Linked DNA regions of Oryzias latipes. The protein of the gene in region 3 purifies or fractionates together with the protein of the main gene of each other region. This does not show direct contact. Links are inferred from orthologs where the notes say so. Each region holds a gene or a part of one and is shown on either strand. Other genes may lie near its edges. The genes, in order: upf1, ncbp1, THO complex subunit 4 and c1qbp.

The links.
Region 1: the proteins of THO complex subunit 4 (region 3) and upf1 purify together in Homo sapiens (co-immunoprecipitation; 3 studies listed by BioGRID and IntAct, with this or other methods). This does not show direct contact. The link is inferred for Oryzias latipes from reciprocal best matches to the Homo sapiens genes ALYREF and UPF1.
Region 2: the proteins of THO complex subunit 4 (region 3) and ncbp1 purify together in Homo sapiens (affinity purification with western blotting; 6 studies listed by BioGRID and IntAct, with this or other methods). This does not show direct contact. The link is inferred for Oryzias latipes from reciprocal best matches to the Homo sapiens genes ALYREF and NCBP1.
Region 4: the proteins of THO complex subunit 4 (region 3) and c1qbp purify together in Homo sapiens (affinity purification with mass spectrometry; 3 studies listed by BioGRID and IntAct, with this or other methods). This does not show direct contact. The link is inferred for Oryzias latipes from reciprocal best matches to the Homo sapiens genes ALYREF and C1QBP.

What each region holds. Positions count from the first base shown.
Region 1 is NC_019862.2:13,852,626-13,856,186, forward strand, and holds part of upf1 (regulator of nonsense transcripts 1), read left to right. Parts: intron 1-140; coding exon 141-321; intron 322-461; coding exon 462-623; intron 624-878; coding exon 879-963; intron 964-1,088; coding exon 1,089-1,187; intron 1,188-1,311; coding exon 1,312-1,420; intron 1,421-1,595; coding exon 1,596-1,755; intron 1,756-1,997; coding exon 1,998-2,116; intron 2,117-2,239; coding exon 2,240-2,404; intron 2,405-3,412; coding exon 3,413-3,527; intron 3,528-3,561. UniProt on the Homo sapiens protein: RNA-dependent helicase required for nonsense-mediated decay (NMD) of aberrant mRNAs containing premature stop codons and modulates the expression level of normal mRNAs.
Region 2 is NC_019868.2:27,750,858-27,755,101, forward strand, and holds the start of ncbp1 (nuclear cap-binding protein subunit 1), read left to right. Parts: upstream 1-1,386; coding exon 1,387-1,420; intron 1,421-2,813; coding exon 2,814-2,902; intron 2,903-2,988; coding exon 2,989-3,089; intron 3,090-3,162; coding exon 3,163-3,319; intron 3,320-3,403; coding exon 3,404-3,511; intron 3,512-3,869; coding exon 3,870-3,991; intron 3,992-4,082; coding exon 4,083-4,152; intron 4,153-4,244. Other genes in the region: tstd2 (thiosulfate sulfurtransferase/rhodanese-like domain-containing protein 2), read right to left, coding at 871-1,146. UniProt on the Homo sapiens protein: Component of the cap-binding complex (CBC), which binds cotranscriptionally to the 5'-cap of pre-mRNAs and is involved in various processes such as pre-mRNA splicing, translation regulation, nonsense-mediated mRNA decay, RNA-mediated gene silencing (RNAi) by microRNAs (miRNAs) and mRNA export.
Region 3 is NC_019866.2:15,369,781-15,374,102, reverse strand, and holds the start of THO complex subunit 4, read left to right. Parts: upstream 1-1,466; 5' UTR 1,467-1,613; coding exon 1,614-1,853; intron 1,854-3,203; coding exon 3,204-3,362; intron 3,363-3,447; coding exon 3,448-3,595; intron 3,596-3,689; coding exon 3,690-3,753; intron 3,754-3,844; coding exon 3,845-4,025; intron 4,026-4,108; coding exon 4,109-4,123; 3' UTR 4,124-4,322. UniProt on the Homo sapiens protein: Functions as an mRNA export adapter; component of the transcription/export (TREX) complex which is thought to couple mRNA transcription, processing and nuclear export, and specifically associates with spliced mRNA and not with unspliced pre-mRNA.
Region 4 is NC_019872.2:21,256,183-21,260,238, forward strand, and holds c1qbp (complement component 1 Q subcomponent-binding protein, mitochondrial), read left to right. Parts: upstream 1-1,228; 5' UTR 1,229-1,359; coding exon 1,360-1,612; intron 1,613-2,516; coding exon 2,517-2,667; intron 2,668-2,747; coding exon 2,748-2,841; intron 2,842-2,919; coding exon 2,920-3,015; intron 3,016-3,096; coding exon 3,097-3,222; intron 3,223-3,300; coding exon 3,301-3,450; 3' UTR 3,451-3,697; downstream 3,698-4,056.

The DNA.
Region 1 (3,561 bases), on a different chromosome or scaffold from region 3:
TGTGGGTCTTAAAGATTATATACCGTATGTCAAGAAAAAACTGTGAATCTTGAGCGAGGCATTAGGTTGTGAGTGGTGCATTTTTTTATTTGTCGGTTATTTTTAAAATAATTTCATCTGAATCGTGTATGTTCATGCAGGCAGCCCTGTGCTAGCCAGAGTAGCCTAAAGGACATCAACTGGGACAGCTCCCAGTGGCAACCACTGATTCAGGACCGCTGTTTTCTGTCCTGGCTGGTGAAGATCCCATCGGAGCAGGAGCAGCTGCGAGCTCGTCAGATCACCGCTCAGCAGATCAATAAGCTGGAGGAACTCTGGAAGGTATGCAGATTCACCTTTTGGGGTGCTTAAACAAAAGTTGAACCCAAATAAAAGGAAAAAGTAACTTCATTAGAGCAGAATGAACTCAGTCTGATTTCAGTGTTTTATTATTGGTTCTGATTCTGTTTCCATGGTAACAGGACAATCCCACCGCTGCACTGGAAGACCTGGAGAAGCCTGGCGTGGACGAGGAGCCCCAGCATGTGCTGCTGCGTTATGAGGATGCTTACCAGTACCAAAACATCTTTGGTCCTTTGGTCAAGCTGGAGGCTGATTATGACAAGAAGCTGAAGGAGTCACAGGTGACTGATTGACCAAGTAATAGTGGCTCAATAAAAATTAGTCATTTAAGGGGCTGTTTTTGCAATAAAAACAGAGCTACAAGGATCATTTGGACTTCCTGTTTTCTCTTGTATAACAGTTAATGTGGAAACAATTCCACTTTGGAGTTGCAATCTGGCAGCATTTTTCTTTATTATAATTTTAATATTATAATAAATATTATAATATTATAATATATTATTTATAATCAGTTATACTTCTTTCTTTTTTTCTAGACTCAAGACAACATAACAGTCAGGTGGGACCTGGGGCTGAACAAGAAGCGCATTGCATATTTTACACTGCCCAAGACAGACTCTGGTATGTTTTTGTGTAGTTTTTTTTATTCTGCTGTGTTATTTGGTTATTTGCAAGTATTAACTTTGTTTTTTTTCTACTTCATTTTAAATTTTGCAATTTATTTCCCACCATGGTTTCCATCCTAGATATGCGCCTAATGCAAGGTGATGAGATCTGCCTGCGTTACAAGGGAGACCTGGCGCCTTTGTGGAAGGGCATCGGCCATGTCATCAAAGTCCCTGACAGTATCCTTTACACTGCTGCAGAATATCTGCTGCATCACACTGACTTCCATCACAATTTCCCTCTTTAAAATCAGCAGCGTCACTATAGCTATAAAAGAGTTTCTTTAACAGCGTGTGCTTGAAGACTATGGGGATGAAATTGCTATTGAATTGAGGAGCAGCGTTGGAGCTCCTGTGGAAATCCCACATAACTTCCAGGTGGACTTTGTGTGGAAATCCACCTCCTTCGACAGGTACACTCAAATGCCCTGCCATGAACTCCAAATGAGACAAAACACTTAAAATTTAGGAAGTTTTATGTTACAGGATGTAATGTGACCTTAATTTTTCTTTTTTTATTTGTAAGAAGATTTCCATTCCAAGTATTTCCTAAGTTGACTCTTTTTTTTTTTTTTTGCACCCCTTTAGGATGCAGAGTGCCCTGAAGACCTTTGCTGTTGACGAGACATCGGTCTCTGGCTACATTTATCACAAACTTTTGGGCCACGAGGTGGAGGACGTTACCATCAAGTGCCAACTGCCGAAGCGTTTCACCGCTCAGGGCCTTCCTGACCTCAATCACTCGCAGGTCAGTCTGGCTTTCTGCTGATACTATGATTCTTGCTGTTAAATTTTAACTCATTTCAGGGCAATACTCCCATTCACTGTCATTTTTGTTGTCATATGCCCTTCAAGCACGGTCATTTACCTTTGGTTTTTGAAATTTTGTGGGGCTTGTGACTTCTTTAGAACAAGACCAAATATTAGTTGCTACAAGTGCCAAGATTACGGATAATTCATTTTCTCTTCTGCCCTTTTCCTCCCAAACAGGTCTACGCAGTAAAGACAGTGTTGCAAAGGCCTCTGAGTTTAATCCAGGGTCCTCCTGGCACTGGGAAAACTGTCACTTCTGCCACAATTGTGTACCACCTATCCCGTCAGGGCAACGGGTAGGACCATCACAATCAACAAACTTCTTCAAGCATAGAAATGTTATGCAAATCTAAAAATATTCCCAAAAACATTTACATAAATCCCTCATTGTGCTTTTATGGGTGCTTGTGTCCTTTTAGGCCAGTCCTGGTGTGTGCTCCAAGTAACATAGCTGTAGATCAGCTCACTGAAAAGATTGATAAGACTGGTCTGAAGGTTGTCAGGCTGTGTGCTAAGAGCAGAGAAGCCATCGAGTCACCAGTGTCTTTCCTGGCTCTCCACAACCAGATCAGCAACATGGACAGGTGAGCGGCACACAGACAAGAAGTTAAAGTACAGTCCACTCATTTTCTTTATTTTTTATTGAACCTTTATTTACCCAGGAAATGTCCCATTGAGATTAAGAATCTCTTTTTCAAGGGAATCCTCATCTTTTGATCTAAGTGTTACCAGAAGTCTTTTCAATATGATTGTGCCGATTTTAGCCTAAATCCAAAAATGTGTCATTTTCTAAGAGTTTCTGTTACGCGGTAAGAGTTCATCAGAAACTCGCCTCTTAGTTGTGTTTGAGACTGATGGTGTGGAAGTAAGATCCCTTTGTTTGCACTCGCCCGCTGGCTTACAGCCCATCACAACCCCAACCTAACATTAGCGGTGCATCAAAAATGGCGAGCAATATCGGATCTATTCAGCCATCCCGTTTTGAGCCAGATTCCAGCTCAGACGAGGAAAATGAAAACGTTATTGGATCTGCTAGTGGATGTATTGGAATGGAGCGTAGCAGTGAGACTTTAGCTCGCCCATTGCAGTGTCTATGTTTTTCAAATGGCATTTATTAATCTCTTGATTCATCGCGGTTTGAATAAAGAAATACTCAGAAATGTAGTTTTAATCGTAAATTCCTTTTTGTATGTCTTCCATGAGAAAAATTCTACAAAAACATGTTAAAAACAAATTTTCCTTTGGAGCGGATCTTTGTTAAAAATCTTAAAAATGTTTTTTATACAAGTCCTGCTGGGAATGTTTTTGGGCTTTGATAATTTTTTACAACCTTTTGTCATTTTGATGTACCTTTTTAATGTATTAAGCCTATCCTCCCAAATCAAGTTAAATTTTGAAAGATTTCCTTATGTTTTAAATTGTGCAAATCTATGTTTCTTTTTGAGAGCAGGCAGTTGGATTACAGTTTTAACTTGATAGTCAAATCCATTCGTTTATCCTGATCTTAGGTTACTGTTGCAGTGTGTGCCTGCCACTGTACATTCAGTTCAGGACCTTTTGAGTCACTGAGTTATCTCTCTTGGTTTCCACAGTATGCCAGAGCTTCAGAAACTGCAGCAGCTGAAGGATGAGACTGGAGAGCTGTCGTCTGCAGATGAGAAACGTTACAGGGCTCTGAAGCGCACAGCTGAGAGGGAGCTGCTCATGGTAAGACAGCTCAGCATTTGTACTATGATTGATG
Region 2 (4,244 bases), on a different chromosome or scaffold from region 3:
ATACTTCCAGAAATATATGGTTTCCAAAAAAGTTGGACCGACTAAAGGAGTTTCTAAATGTGATGTCTTGAATCATCATCATCATCATCATCATCATTGAGGTTCACGTCAATATTTACGTAATGAGCCAAATTTTGGCCTGTCAATACTCTGATCAAGCCTGAAATATATTACATATCTATAAATGATTTAAGCATTGATTTACATCTATTTGGTCCGGTAAACGGTAATAATCTGTTTATGACAAAAACAGGGAAGAATTTTATATGTCTAAAGTGACAATTTAAAAGAAGCAACAAATTTTTTTTTATGTATTTGTTTGTTTGTGACATCAAACACTAAAAAAAAGCCTCTCTGCAAATTTACCAGTTGGCCAAAAGCCCCCCCCCCTCTATTTGTTGTCCCAGGACAGAAGGTAAATGTGCCTCACTAAATATAAAGTAATCATTTAATGAACGCCTGGTGAAAGGTGAGTTTTCAACTGTAAAATGGTCAAATATGTTTTTAACTACAGGATCTATTTCTAAATTGTTGTGCCTTTTTTATGTTGTTTGTTTTGGTGTAAAGCACTTTGTGTTATCATGTTCTAGAATTATATAAATTTTACATAAATAAAGATTGATTAGATTTGATACACAGAAAAACAAAAACAAATACCAAAGATATTCTCTAACTTTCATGTCTTGAATACCTTAGGTAGTAATAATATTACTACCTAGTAGTAATAATATTACTAATATATAAAAGATGCAAACTGCCCAGAATTGGGTCAGAATCAATATTTAGTTTAGATTAGTTTAGTCATTTTTTATTCTGTTTTCAATCATTCTGCGTTGTCTTTGTGGAAAGAGAAGCCAGATATTCTCCTACCTTTCTCCTGCAGAACCTGTAATATTTTCTGTGAGCAGCAGAAATGTGTTTGTTTTGCTTAATTGATCCATGATCAACCATCGACGTGTTGACCTCCCAGTTCAGAAACTCTGAGCAGACTGCTTCACTGGCTGCCATTCTCCTCAACTGGCAAATTAAATGCACGACAAATATGTTTGTGATCGTAAAAAACGCAACTTTGTGATAGAACGCGTAAATACTGACAAAAAGAGAGATATAAGTTCTCAAACGCGGTAAATACCCTTGTATTTCCATGCGAGTGTGCAGCTCACCGGAAGTGGAAGTTCAGCTTCCGGTTGTACCTTGAATGACCCGGATGTCCATCATTTCAATCGCTCCGCTGTTATTTCTCTGTAAGAAGCTGCTGTTGCTGCTGCTGCCGCCTCCGGACTCTGCCGTTCAAAATAAGCAAAGCTTTTCCCGGATCCACCGGTCTGTCCCGCGTTATTTTTTTTACACCGGGTGTCTGCACGCGTGCAGCTCAGGGGGGACAACATGTCCAGGAGGAGACACAGCGACGACAGTGACGGCAAGTCGCGCGCTGCATGTGCGATTCAAACGTTACGGCTAACGCGGCAGCTAGCTACAGCTACCTTGATTATCTGTATGTGCTATAACTTTAAAGGAATGCAACGATAGCAGGCGTTGCCCCAATATCAAGTATTTTTTTAAAGCTACTAAATAAATTAGGGGATTTTAAAAAATGATTTTTAAGAGATTAAGTTTTACCAGAAAAACCCGGTTCCGTTAGTTAGCTACTTTAGCTAACGCTAACGGCCAGATTTATGTTTTATAACGGTTTCTGGCACACAAAACACATTTAATGTTTGTAAAGACTGGCGTAAGTGTTGAAAGAGACACTTTTTCTGTGGGTTCATCATCATGCGCATGGAAACGTGATGTTACAGCCCTGTGGATTTTGTGATTTATAAAGGAACATTCACAACCAAAGTGTCTCACGGTTCCACACTAAAAAAATATCAGACCTAACAATATTTTTATATAATGTAGGATTAGTTTAGTATGTATTTGTCATTGTATGTATAAATGACTTCTATTGGCTTCCATTGAGTGTTTACCTTTCATTCAGAGATTTCAGTAAGGAGAGAATCAGCAAGGCAAGTTTATTTCTTAAGCACATTTTATGTACAAAGGCAATTCAAGGTCCTTTACATAAAACACTAAAAGAAAAATTTAACAGAAATATTAAAGGAGTTATCACCAAAATAAAAATTTAAAGAACTGAAGTAAATACCAACCTGCATTTAAATAAACTGAGTGTTTCAGCTGATCCAAGGCTTAATTCTGGTAGTCTGTTCCAGATCTACAGAGCATAGAAGCTGAATGCAGCTTCTTCGTGTTTGATTTCGACTCTAGGTACTGACGAAAGAGCAGATCCAGATTACCGGACAGGTCAGAACTGGACTGATGTGGTCTAATATTTGGCTCCTTTGAAGGACCCGAGCAGCAGAGTTCTGAATACGCTGCCGTATCGTCCAGCAAAAACACTGGAACAGTAGTCAAGTCGACTAAAGATCGACTTAACACATAAACAAGTTTGGCCAAGTCCTGCTTAGACATCAGATCTTTATTTTAACCAGATGAAATTATCTCAAAGCGATGTTAAAAAGATGGGTTTTGTGCTTCTTCTGAAAAATCTCTACGGTCTCTGAGGCTCTCCGGCAGGCTGACGTCCAACTGTTTGTCTTTAGCCCTAGACACAATATTCTCCATTTTTCTTCTGTTTACCTAAAGTATATAGGAGGAAACCTCCAGTAAAGTCAGATGGAGTATGTGTGACTGTCGAAACACTAGATTTTATGAGACGAATACACTATTTTCCCCCCAAAACGTAGATTTGTTTTTCTGTCTTCAGTGTCCTCTCAGGTCAGAGGTTTAAGTTCTGTCCTTTTCATTTTTAGGAGGTCAAGCCCACAAAAGGAGGAGAACATCAGAGCCTATTGAGATTGAAGACCGCCTGGAGTCGCTGATATGTCGCGTTGGAGAAAAAGTACGATGGCCGTTTTGTCATAAAGCCATATATTTACTATTTAAATAATTTGCAATAACTAAAGTCCGTCTTTGATCTTTTAAAAGAGTACATCGTCCCTCGAGAGCAACCTGGAGGGGCTCGCAGGGGTTTTGGAGGCGGACCTTCCAAACTACAAAAACAAAATCCTGCGTATTTTATGTGCAGTGTAAGTTGTCCGCAGTTCTCCTCATTCTCAAGCGTAACAAACGGTCCGTTTTCACAAACGCGTCTTTCGACAGAGCCCGCCTCCTGCCGGAGAAGCTGACAGTCTACACGACGTTAGTCGGCCTCCTGAACGCCAGGAACTACAACTTTGGGGGAGAGTTTGTGGAGGCCATGATCCGGCAGCTGAAGGAGACGCTGAAAAACAACTTCTACAACGAAGCCGTTTACTTGGTCTGTTGATGTTCAATGTCTAAACTCGCAGCTGCTGCAGCGCCTTTTGCTCTCGGCATCGTTTAAGTTCTCTGCTCTCTTCAGGTGCGCTTTCTGTCAGACTTGGTCAACTGTCACGTGATCGCTGCCCCTTCCATGGTAGCCATGTTTGAAAACTTCATCAGTGTTACTCAGGAAGAAGATGTGCCACAGGTTTGTTTCTGCACGGCCTCACCTGGAATATTTGTTTGCATCAGAAGTTTCAGTTTATGAACATCCCGTTCTTTTTTTACTTAATGTCACATTTAAGGCGCCTCCTTTTGTTTTACTGCAACGTCTGAGTTTCCCCATTTCAAATTCAGCAAACTCCTTTATTTTTGTATCATCTGATGTTCTCAATGACGACTCAAAATTCCATGACTTGGTTTTGGGAGAACTGCAGTCCAATCAAAAATAAAAATGATTGTTTTCTGTGTAAAAATAGTTTTAGATTTATACAAAAACGATTTTTCAGCTTCTCAATTTGACTTGAAGATGAAGATCAGTAAGCGTGAGACCCTTTTGGCTCCAGGTTCGGTTGGACTGGTTCGTGTACGTGGTTCTGTCCTGCCTGCCGTGGGTCGGCAAGGAACTTTATGAGAAGAAGGACGTGGAGATGGACCGACTCCTGAGCCAGATCGAAGGCTACCTCAAGTGAGACGCGGCCTCTTTTCTGGAGCATCTTTTGCTTTCCATTGAAGCTGTTGTTGGACTGACTCCAGCGCTCTGCTGTGTTCCTGGACAGGAGGAGGGTGAAGACTCACGTCCCCATGCTGCAGGTGTGGACCGCTGAGAAACCACATCCACAGGAAGAGGTGAGCCTTTTGGACAAGCAGGTTTTGAAACGCAAGTCTAAAAAGATGCATTAGAAGGATCGAAGGGGGAAAAAAATCCAGATTGCTTTGAA
Region 3 (4,322 bases):
GACTTTGAAAGAAAATATGAAAGGGCTGACTTCTGTTTTTATTTTTTGGAAAACCAATTGATAAACAGTAGAATGATCTCAATGGATATCCTCTTAGTGGGCTTGTTTTGGAAACCAAAATACAATGTGGAAGGCCAACATTTTTTTTATTATTATTATTATTATTATACATTTTTCTTGCCCTGGGATGGACATTGTTGAGTAGTGAATGCAGGAATGCAGCTCTTATCTCCTTCCTCTAAGCCTTGGAAGCAAAATGTTGAATAAAAGACTTTTACAGAACTTCTGCTTGGTTTGACACTCATGTATGTTTGTTATAATACAATGAACAGTAATCAGTGTTAGGCTGTTTTTTTCCTCGGAACAAACGTTAGCTAAAAGTATGGAAAACGATCATAAATAAGAGGTTAAAAACTCCCCAGTATATCCCCCACCCCACTAAAATTCAGCTATTTTTAAATATACATAACTGTATTTGTAGTTTAGCTTTACAGATTGATTATATCTTTGATTTTCACTTTTTTTACACCCACAATTATTAGGAAAGTAATTCTTTTGCTTTTTTTATTAATAACAGCAATACCAGTTTTTTGTTATTTCTTTATAATAACGTGCAATTAACAGAGGTAGAGTTTACAGACAAACAGAGCCATGTAGCTCAGAAACAATCAATGTAGGAAAGGTTTCAATAAAAGAACAAGAGGGAAACTTTCTTTTTTGTTTGTTTTCTAATTAGGTGAAGAAGTTGTTGGTCTTAAAAATACTACTACCTTCAAATCAAAACAATAGAGTTGCATTTATATTTGTTATTTACATATTTCAAATGAATGTGAAGGAAGAATACAATCATGCATTCTCGTGCAGGGTGCTTTTTTAATCCTTATTGTAGTATGAAGAAGAGCAAAATTTTGAATAATACTTTGAATTGCTATCTTTTTATGCAAAATTAATCTTTTGAGATCAAATTAATTTCAACTTCTTAGCAGATTTGCTGACGTGTCTCATCAAAAAGAGATCCAATTTGTATTTATAATATGCATATTGAGAGTTCAGGGTGTTGTCCAATTTAAGCATTCATTATAATAACGTTTCTTGATCAAACTAAGAAAGTTTTCTTTAGGTCATAGTCACATCTAAATAAAAAATCAATTCAATACAAATTTCATTTGAAATATGAAACCACATTTTTGTTTGTTTAAAGAAGTGCCTTAGCCTATTTGTTTTCAATGTAATTTAAAGTCTAAAAGTATTTTTTTTTATGTTATTCAGTTTCGTTATAGAGATATAGTTAAAAGTGTTTGATTTAATGCTTTGATTGCTTCTTTTAGTGTTACTATGAACTGAACACACCCATGTATGGCGTTTTTTAGGAATAATGTTTTAGTTTCCAGTAGAGGGCGGTAAAGAGTTGTTGTAGTTTTTAACGTAATGACGTCAAGAGTACGTGTTCTCCAACCAATCAGCTTTTCTACAGCTTGTGGGCGCTTTTCATTGTGCTTAGTACTTGGACCAGAGAGCGTAAATCTACGGACGAAGAGAGGGAACAGCTTAGTCCAGGGTGTTTTAAGACAATTTAAATCTTTACAGTGCTTTAGAGTTATCGGGGCAGCATAATGGCGGATAAGATGGATATGTCTCTAGACGACATTATCAAGCTGAACAGGCAGAGTAGAGGCGGAGCCCGTGGGGGAAGAGGCCGAGGCCGCGGAGGCTCAGGCGGTGCCCGTGGAGGAGGCCTTGGGCGTCTTGGTGGTGGCGGCGGCGGATTTGGAGGCCGAGGCGGAGGATCAGGCCCCATGAGGACCCGACAGAACCTGAGCCGCGCTAGAGGCAGACCAACGCCTTATAGCAGGGTATGAGAAAGTTAGACGAATGGGCATTGGAAGGAAAAAAACCTTCGTCAAAGCTGAAAATTCCTGGTTTACGTCTTCTTTTCTCCATTTGGCTTGACGGCTAATCACCTAGCTAGTCAAGCCATTAAAATGGTTGCTTACCGCTGAGTTTCCCTTAGAGGAGAGCTCTATAGTTTGTGGATAAGCATAAATGGAGGTTGTTTGCATAATATGTCCCTTCTCCCACAACCTATATGTGTCGCACCACTTTTCAAGAAGAAGCTGCTTGAGGAGCGACTATGTTAGCCACATTGGCTAACCTGCCGGATCGTGAAGGTCTCAGCGCCATTTTGAATCCAACAACCTCGAATACAATTTGGCGTCAAAATGATGTTTTACCCCAAGTGTCGTAATGGTCTGGAAAGAAAAGGATGCCTACATCGCTGAGAAGGTTCCTGCACGTTTTTTCCATTGCTACGGAATCACATTCCTTCCAACGTCCTGCTACATCTTCAAGGCGGCCTTTTGTCCCAGGAATGGCTGACGGGGTTTCTTAAAATCCCACCCAAAAGGCTTTTCACCAAATGTCACATATGGATGGATACGTGGACTCATACTTAATCCCCTCAAATTTCCTTTATTTTTTTTTTTTTTTTTGTAAAAAGAAGCCCAATCTTCACTCCTGGGGTGTGAATGAATATAAATGCAACCCAAACAAAGCCCCGATCAAAATGGCGTGGTTTCAAAATGGACGTCCGCGTACTCCACGCACTAAAAAGGGGGCTATCGGCTTCTTTCCCCCCAAAATGTTCTTCACCTGTAACATCCTAAAGACATTTCTTCATGAAAGTCGAATTGTGGCCTGACAAAGGACTGTTGTGAGCCTGGACAAGCGGCGCAACGCGGGATGCGAGGCTGCTTCTGCCGGGGACCCCCCCTCGTGTGCCTGAGGAGCATGTCGACAGACAGAGCAGTTGGTGGAGTAGCAGATGGCAAGAAACGACGGGGTTATGCTAGCTAGTTTGGGGCGGATTTTTGGTTCATGTAAAGATTTTTTAAAGTTAATGTATGAAAATGATTAGTTTAAATATCTGTCAGCTTTTTGTCTTACTTTACAAGTAGTAAAACATTGAAATTTTCTGTATCAAAACACCAAAATAGCTATTTTTAAATTTGTGTATTTCTGTCTGAAGTGATTCACGTGATTGTAACGATGGGGTGGGCAGGGATCATGGGGGGGTCTGCTGAGCACCCTGGCCGTGTTGGAAGTGGAGCACCTGCTTGCACCAACACCCAGCCGTGTGGACTCTGTGAAAGACAGAGGCAGGGGATCCTGAAGTCAGCAGGTGCGTTCTCTTTCGTCTGTTGCAGCCCAAACAGCTTCCCGATAAATGGCAGCACGACATGTTTGACAACGGCTTCAGCGGCTTCAATGGGGCTGCTGGAGGTGGCGGAGGAGCTGGTGTGGAAACGGGAGGAAAGCTCCTCGTCTCCAATCTGGACTTTGGGGTGTCAGACGCAGACATCCAGGTACAACTTAGCTAGCATATCTGATGGTGATGTTTTTTTTTTTTAATTGATGACTTAGTTTTGACTTTTTTTTTTTTTATCGAAGGAACTCTTTGCTGAATTTGGGACTCTAAAGAAAGCTGCAGTTCATTACGACAGATCAGGAAGAAGCCTTGGAACGGCAGATGTCCACTTTGAAAGGAGGGCAGATGCCCTGAAAGCCATGAAACAGTACAATGGCATTCCTCTTGATGGTATTCTTCTACTTTATTACAGATTTATTTAATTAGATAAATACATTTAAATATTAGTTGATCTTCCCAAGATTAAAGCCTAATTTGTGTTTAGGGCGGCCTATGAACATTCAGCTCGTCACATCACAGATCGACACACAGAGGCGGCCTATGCAGGGGTAAGTAAGCATGGATTCTTGGGAAACTGGAAACAGGCTGTTGTGTAAACCCCAATTACATTTTCTTTGTGTATTTGTTTTGTTTTACCAGTATGAACAGAGGTGGTGGAGGCATGAGTAGAAATCGGGGTTTCGGAGGGATGCAAAGAGGCCGAGGGGTCCGTGGTGCAGGTGGTCCCAGAGGAAGAGGGCGGGGGGGGCGCGGCGGTGCCCCCAAGCAACCGCTATCGGCAGAAGAGCTTGACGCCCAGTTAGATGCTTACAATGCCAGGGTACATCTGTCAAAATAGAAAGCATCTTCTGTTGAAGTTGTTTTGCAGCTGTCCTAATTCTGTTTCACCTCTTGTTTTCTCAGATGGATACCAGTTAAGGAAACCTCCCATCCTAGTTGACGTCATCCCTCCCTGTCTGCACAGAAAGGGGTGCTTGTTACAGATGTGCAGAATATTTTACACTTGTCTTCTGATGTGATTGAAATTGTTCCAACCTCTTCTTTTAAATACTCCAAAGTGTTTTTTACCAAGTGTTTTATTTTTGTTTTAATTTTTTTTTTTTTTTTGATCGAATGG
Region 4 (4,056 bases), on a different chromosome or scaffold from region 3:
TCCTTATGATATAATATGAACTAACTTACAGTGGTATCAAGTCAATAACATGGAAATTATGGGAGTTTTTTTAGTAACATTTTGCATCATTTCTGGCCTTTTTTCAACAGCAGAATTTCCATCCACATAAGAATGCAAACTTATCTACAGCCACTACCTTTAAAAAGGTTTAGTAAAGATAGATACATAAAAGCTCTTGGTCTATATTTACATGTATGTATATATGTAAAATTCAAATAATTAAATTATATGTGAAATAGTCAAGATAATTACAACATTTATCAGGAATTCATGGTAACATTATCTGTGCTAAATTCACAGAAGCTACTGTGTTCATAAAGAAAAGTTAAAAAAAGAAACTTAAAAAAAAACACCACTAAACTCACCCTTTAGGTCTGAATAATTTCCTTCAAAAATGTGGGGACATAAATCTCTCAAGTTGCTTTTGTGCTTTTGTACTGTCTTTAGGGAAGTCTGACAACAAAGAGACTTTTTTTTTCAAACTGATTCCTTAAAAAAAAAAAAAAAAAGTGCGGTCACAGTCGCAACCGATAGTTTGTAAATTAGCAGATTCAGTCCAAACCGTTACAGAATTTCCTAACTTAGAAAACAGTAGTTTCCATGGTGAACACATTTTTTTATAGAATAGAAAATAATCTTTTTACATATATTTATATATATATATTTAGCAAATTTTCGTGGCTTTGATAAAGGGGTTTAAAAAGCATATAAATTTATCTTAAAAAATGAATTGGCTGTATAGTGGGCGTTGAATGGTTTAAAAACATGTCAGACAGCACCATCTGATGGCAGCAAGACTACAATTTCAATATATATTGTCGCAAAGGATGATGCAATGTTTCTACATGACGGGCCTCTACCGGTTGAGATTGTATTGATATTTCTTATTTAATCAAATTTTATTTCACTTGTATGTGCTGTCGAGTTTATTATAAATAAATAAAGAACTCCCGCCACTAAAGAAGGCAGACAATCTCTAATAAAACATTCACATCGAAGACACAGGGGGGCGCCACTGAAAATGCACTACGTTTTTTAAAAGTGCATCATATTTTTTCAGCTATTTTTTAAAAATGTTTTTCCATTTAATTTTACCATCCTATTTTACCATCATATATAATCAGTTAGTGTTTAGTGTTTAGTAAAGTAAAGTCAACTATTTGATATAAAACTAATGTTTACTGAACTAAGTACTACTTCCGGTTCAGGGGTCATAGTTACGCTAGGTCAATGTGCCCTTCCACACGTGTTGCCGGTGTCTTCTAGAAGCGTTCCTGGTAGTACGTCGGTGCCTGCGTGTTCTTATTTTTCTCTCTTCTTTAAACAGTTTATAGTATCATGCTAAAGTCTCTGGTCCGCGCGGTGGGAGCTGCTGTTCGGCTGTCCTCGGCACCATCCGCTGCTGCACGGGCTCTGCCGCTCAGCTGTCCGACCAACCGCTCTCCTGGTTCGGTTGCATCTCGGCCCTTCACCCGCTCCCTGTGGATGTTGAACAGTAACGGAGCCCCGTCGGGATACAGACCTAAACTGTTCAGCTCAAAAGTACTAAGTCCGTCTGTGTCGTGTGGATGTGGAGGGCTGCACACGGAAGGTAGCTGAACGTCCGCATGTTTTTGTTTCATTTATCTAAAAAAAAAAGAGAACCTGTAAACACAAGTTTGGGTTATTTAAAGCAGCAAAACAGCTTAAGTTGCTTACAAAATTGAAAGACACGTGGCGGTTAATTGGGGTTTTAGACGACACGGCGAGCGTGCTGCATCCTGGTTTAGGAGCTAAAGAGCTGACATCACTTTGGCAGGCAAAGCTTTAGATGATAAACAATCAACTGATGTTTTAACTTGTCGCTTAGCAACAGTACTGCTAATTTCCAGACTTCACAAACTATTTGAATTTTACAGTGACCCGATTTTCCTCATTAAAAGTGCTTGTTTTTATTTCTTTTTTTTTTTTCTTTACTCCTTCCACTCGGCAGAAATTGCTCCTGGAAAACGACACAGGTTTTATAAAGATTTGGCTAAAAACGTCAAAATTATTATTTTTAAAAAAACCCCACTGTGAACGCTTTTACAATCGAGCGGGAGGTGATTGGAGTGGAGCTTTTAACATTTTAAACTAATCACAAGTGAAGAGTCCCTTTATATTTACATCTGTATTTACTCAGTCAGCATTTGTTTTTTTGAATATTCCGCTGGTGTGTTATCCATCAACACTTAAAGATTCTACACGATGTAGGTATTTTGTATGTAATTGTGTAACAATTGTTTCAGATAATGCATTTTATCAAGTTTTTTCACCTCTAACTTGTCACATGTTTAAACATAAAACATTAAGGTTCACTGATAAGTTTTTCCAAATCCCCTCTGCCGAAGCCAATAGTTTACTCATATAAAGTTATGTTGTCATCCCATCCTGTGTGAAATGTGGATTCATGTTTTTTATCAAGTTGTCCATTCTACATCACACAGTTTCACCTAAATCTGTTGTCTTTTTCTCAGGAGACAAAGCGTTTGGTAACTTCCTGTCCGATGAAATCAAAGAGGAAAAGAAGATCCAGAAAAACAAAACCCTTCCTAAGATGTCTGGAGGATGGGAGCTTGAGATGAACGGCACAGAGGCCAAACTCACAAGACACCTTTCTGGTGAAAAGTAAGGCGATGGCTCACTCTCTGAGGACAAAGTGACCGTGTAGGAGTTCCTGCAAAGCAGCTTTTATTTTCTGTCTTCAGAGTGACGGTCACATTCAACGTTAACAACAGCATCCCTCCAAGCTTTGAGGAGGAGGAGGAAGCGCAGCAGCAGCAGAAACCAGCAGAGGAAGAGGTGAAGCTTTCGAATTACCTTCTAGATTTGTGATCTTATCATTTATTTATGCTCACTAGTTGTTGTTTTCCTTTGTAGCCAGAGATTGTATCTACGCCAAACTTTGTTGTTGAAGTAACAAAACAGAATGGGAAGCACACGCTCGTGTTTGACTGTCATTTCCCTGAGGATGAGGTATGAATTAAAACGAAGAAAGAAAGAAAAACTTCTGGATGAAGTGGTTAGGTAAAAAGGTGCCGACTTTATCCAATGTAGATGAGTCATGGTGAGGGGGAGGAGGAGAGCGACATCTTTGCCATCCGGGAGGTCAGCTTTCAGCCAGAGGGAGACTCTGAGTGGAAGGAGACCAGCTACACCCTCAACACAGACTCCCTGGACTGGGTAAGAGCTGCTGTGAACCATGAGCACACGGGGGGTCATGAAGGTGGGATGTTCTCAACTCTGCTGGGTTCTTTTTAGGCGCTGTACGATCATTTGATGGACTTCCTGGCCGACCGCGGCATTGATAACACCTTCACAGACGAGCTCATGGAGCTCAGCACTGCCATAGAGCACCAAGAGTACATCAAGTTCCTGGAAGATCTCCAAAGCTTTGTCAAATGTAACTAATATTTAACTTAACTGTCTGTTCTCCAGATGAAATTTCAAAGGACTAAAGCACTCAAGACTCATGTTTGGCACCCGGCAACAAGAATGTTGCTTGTTTTTCTGTAACTTCAATAGAAATATTTGTCAGCCATAGTGATCATTTAGTTTCTCAGCCTCTATTTTACATCTCATGTCCCCTTTAAATGTGTAAACGTTCAATCAAGACCTGTTCTAAAGCTAATAAAGAGAATTGTCAGTTTTCATTCGAGAATTTGTCACATTCTGAGGTTTTACTTTAGGAAGTTTTTATGTTTATTGAGGAACATTGACATTTTGTTGGTGGCTTAAAAACAAAATAAATACACACAAATTCCACACAGAACCAATTCAAGGTTTTAGATCATAATCATCACCTTACATTTTTCTCAATACAGTAAAACTTGAACAAGTTCAGATGCTTCAAAACTGAAATTATTTGAAAGATTCTTTATAATTTAGAAATGAATAGAACTGTTTAAAGGAAACAAATGGAAAAACAATATTAAACTGTTTATGTGCAATAGAGGTTGATCAAACCTTAAGCTCCTCCTAAGAAGCAACCCCGCCCCCCTTCCTCCCAGCTATTTC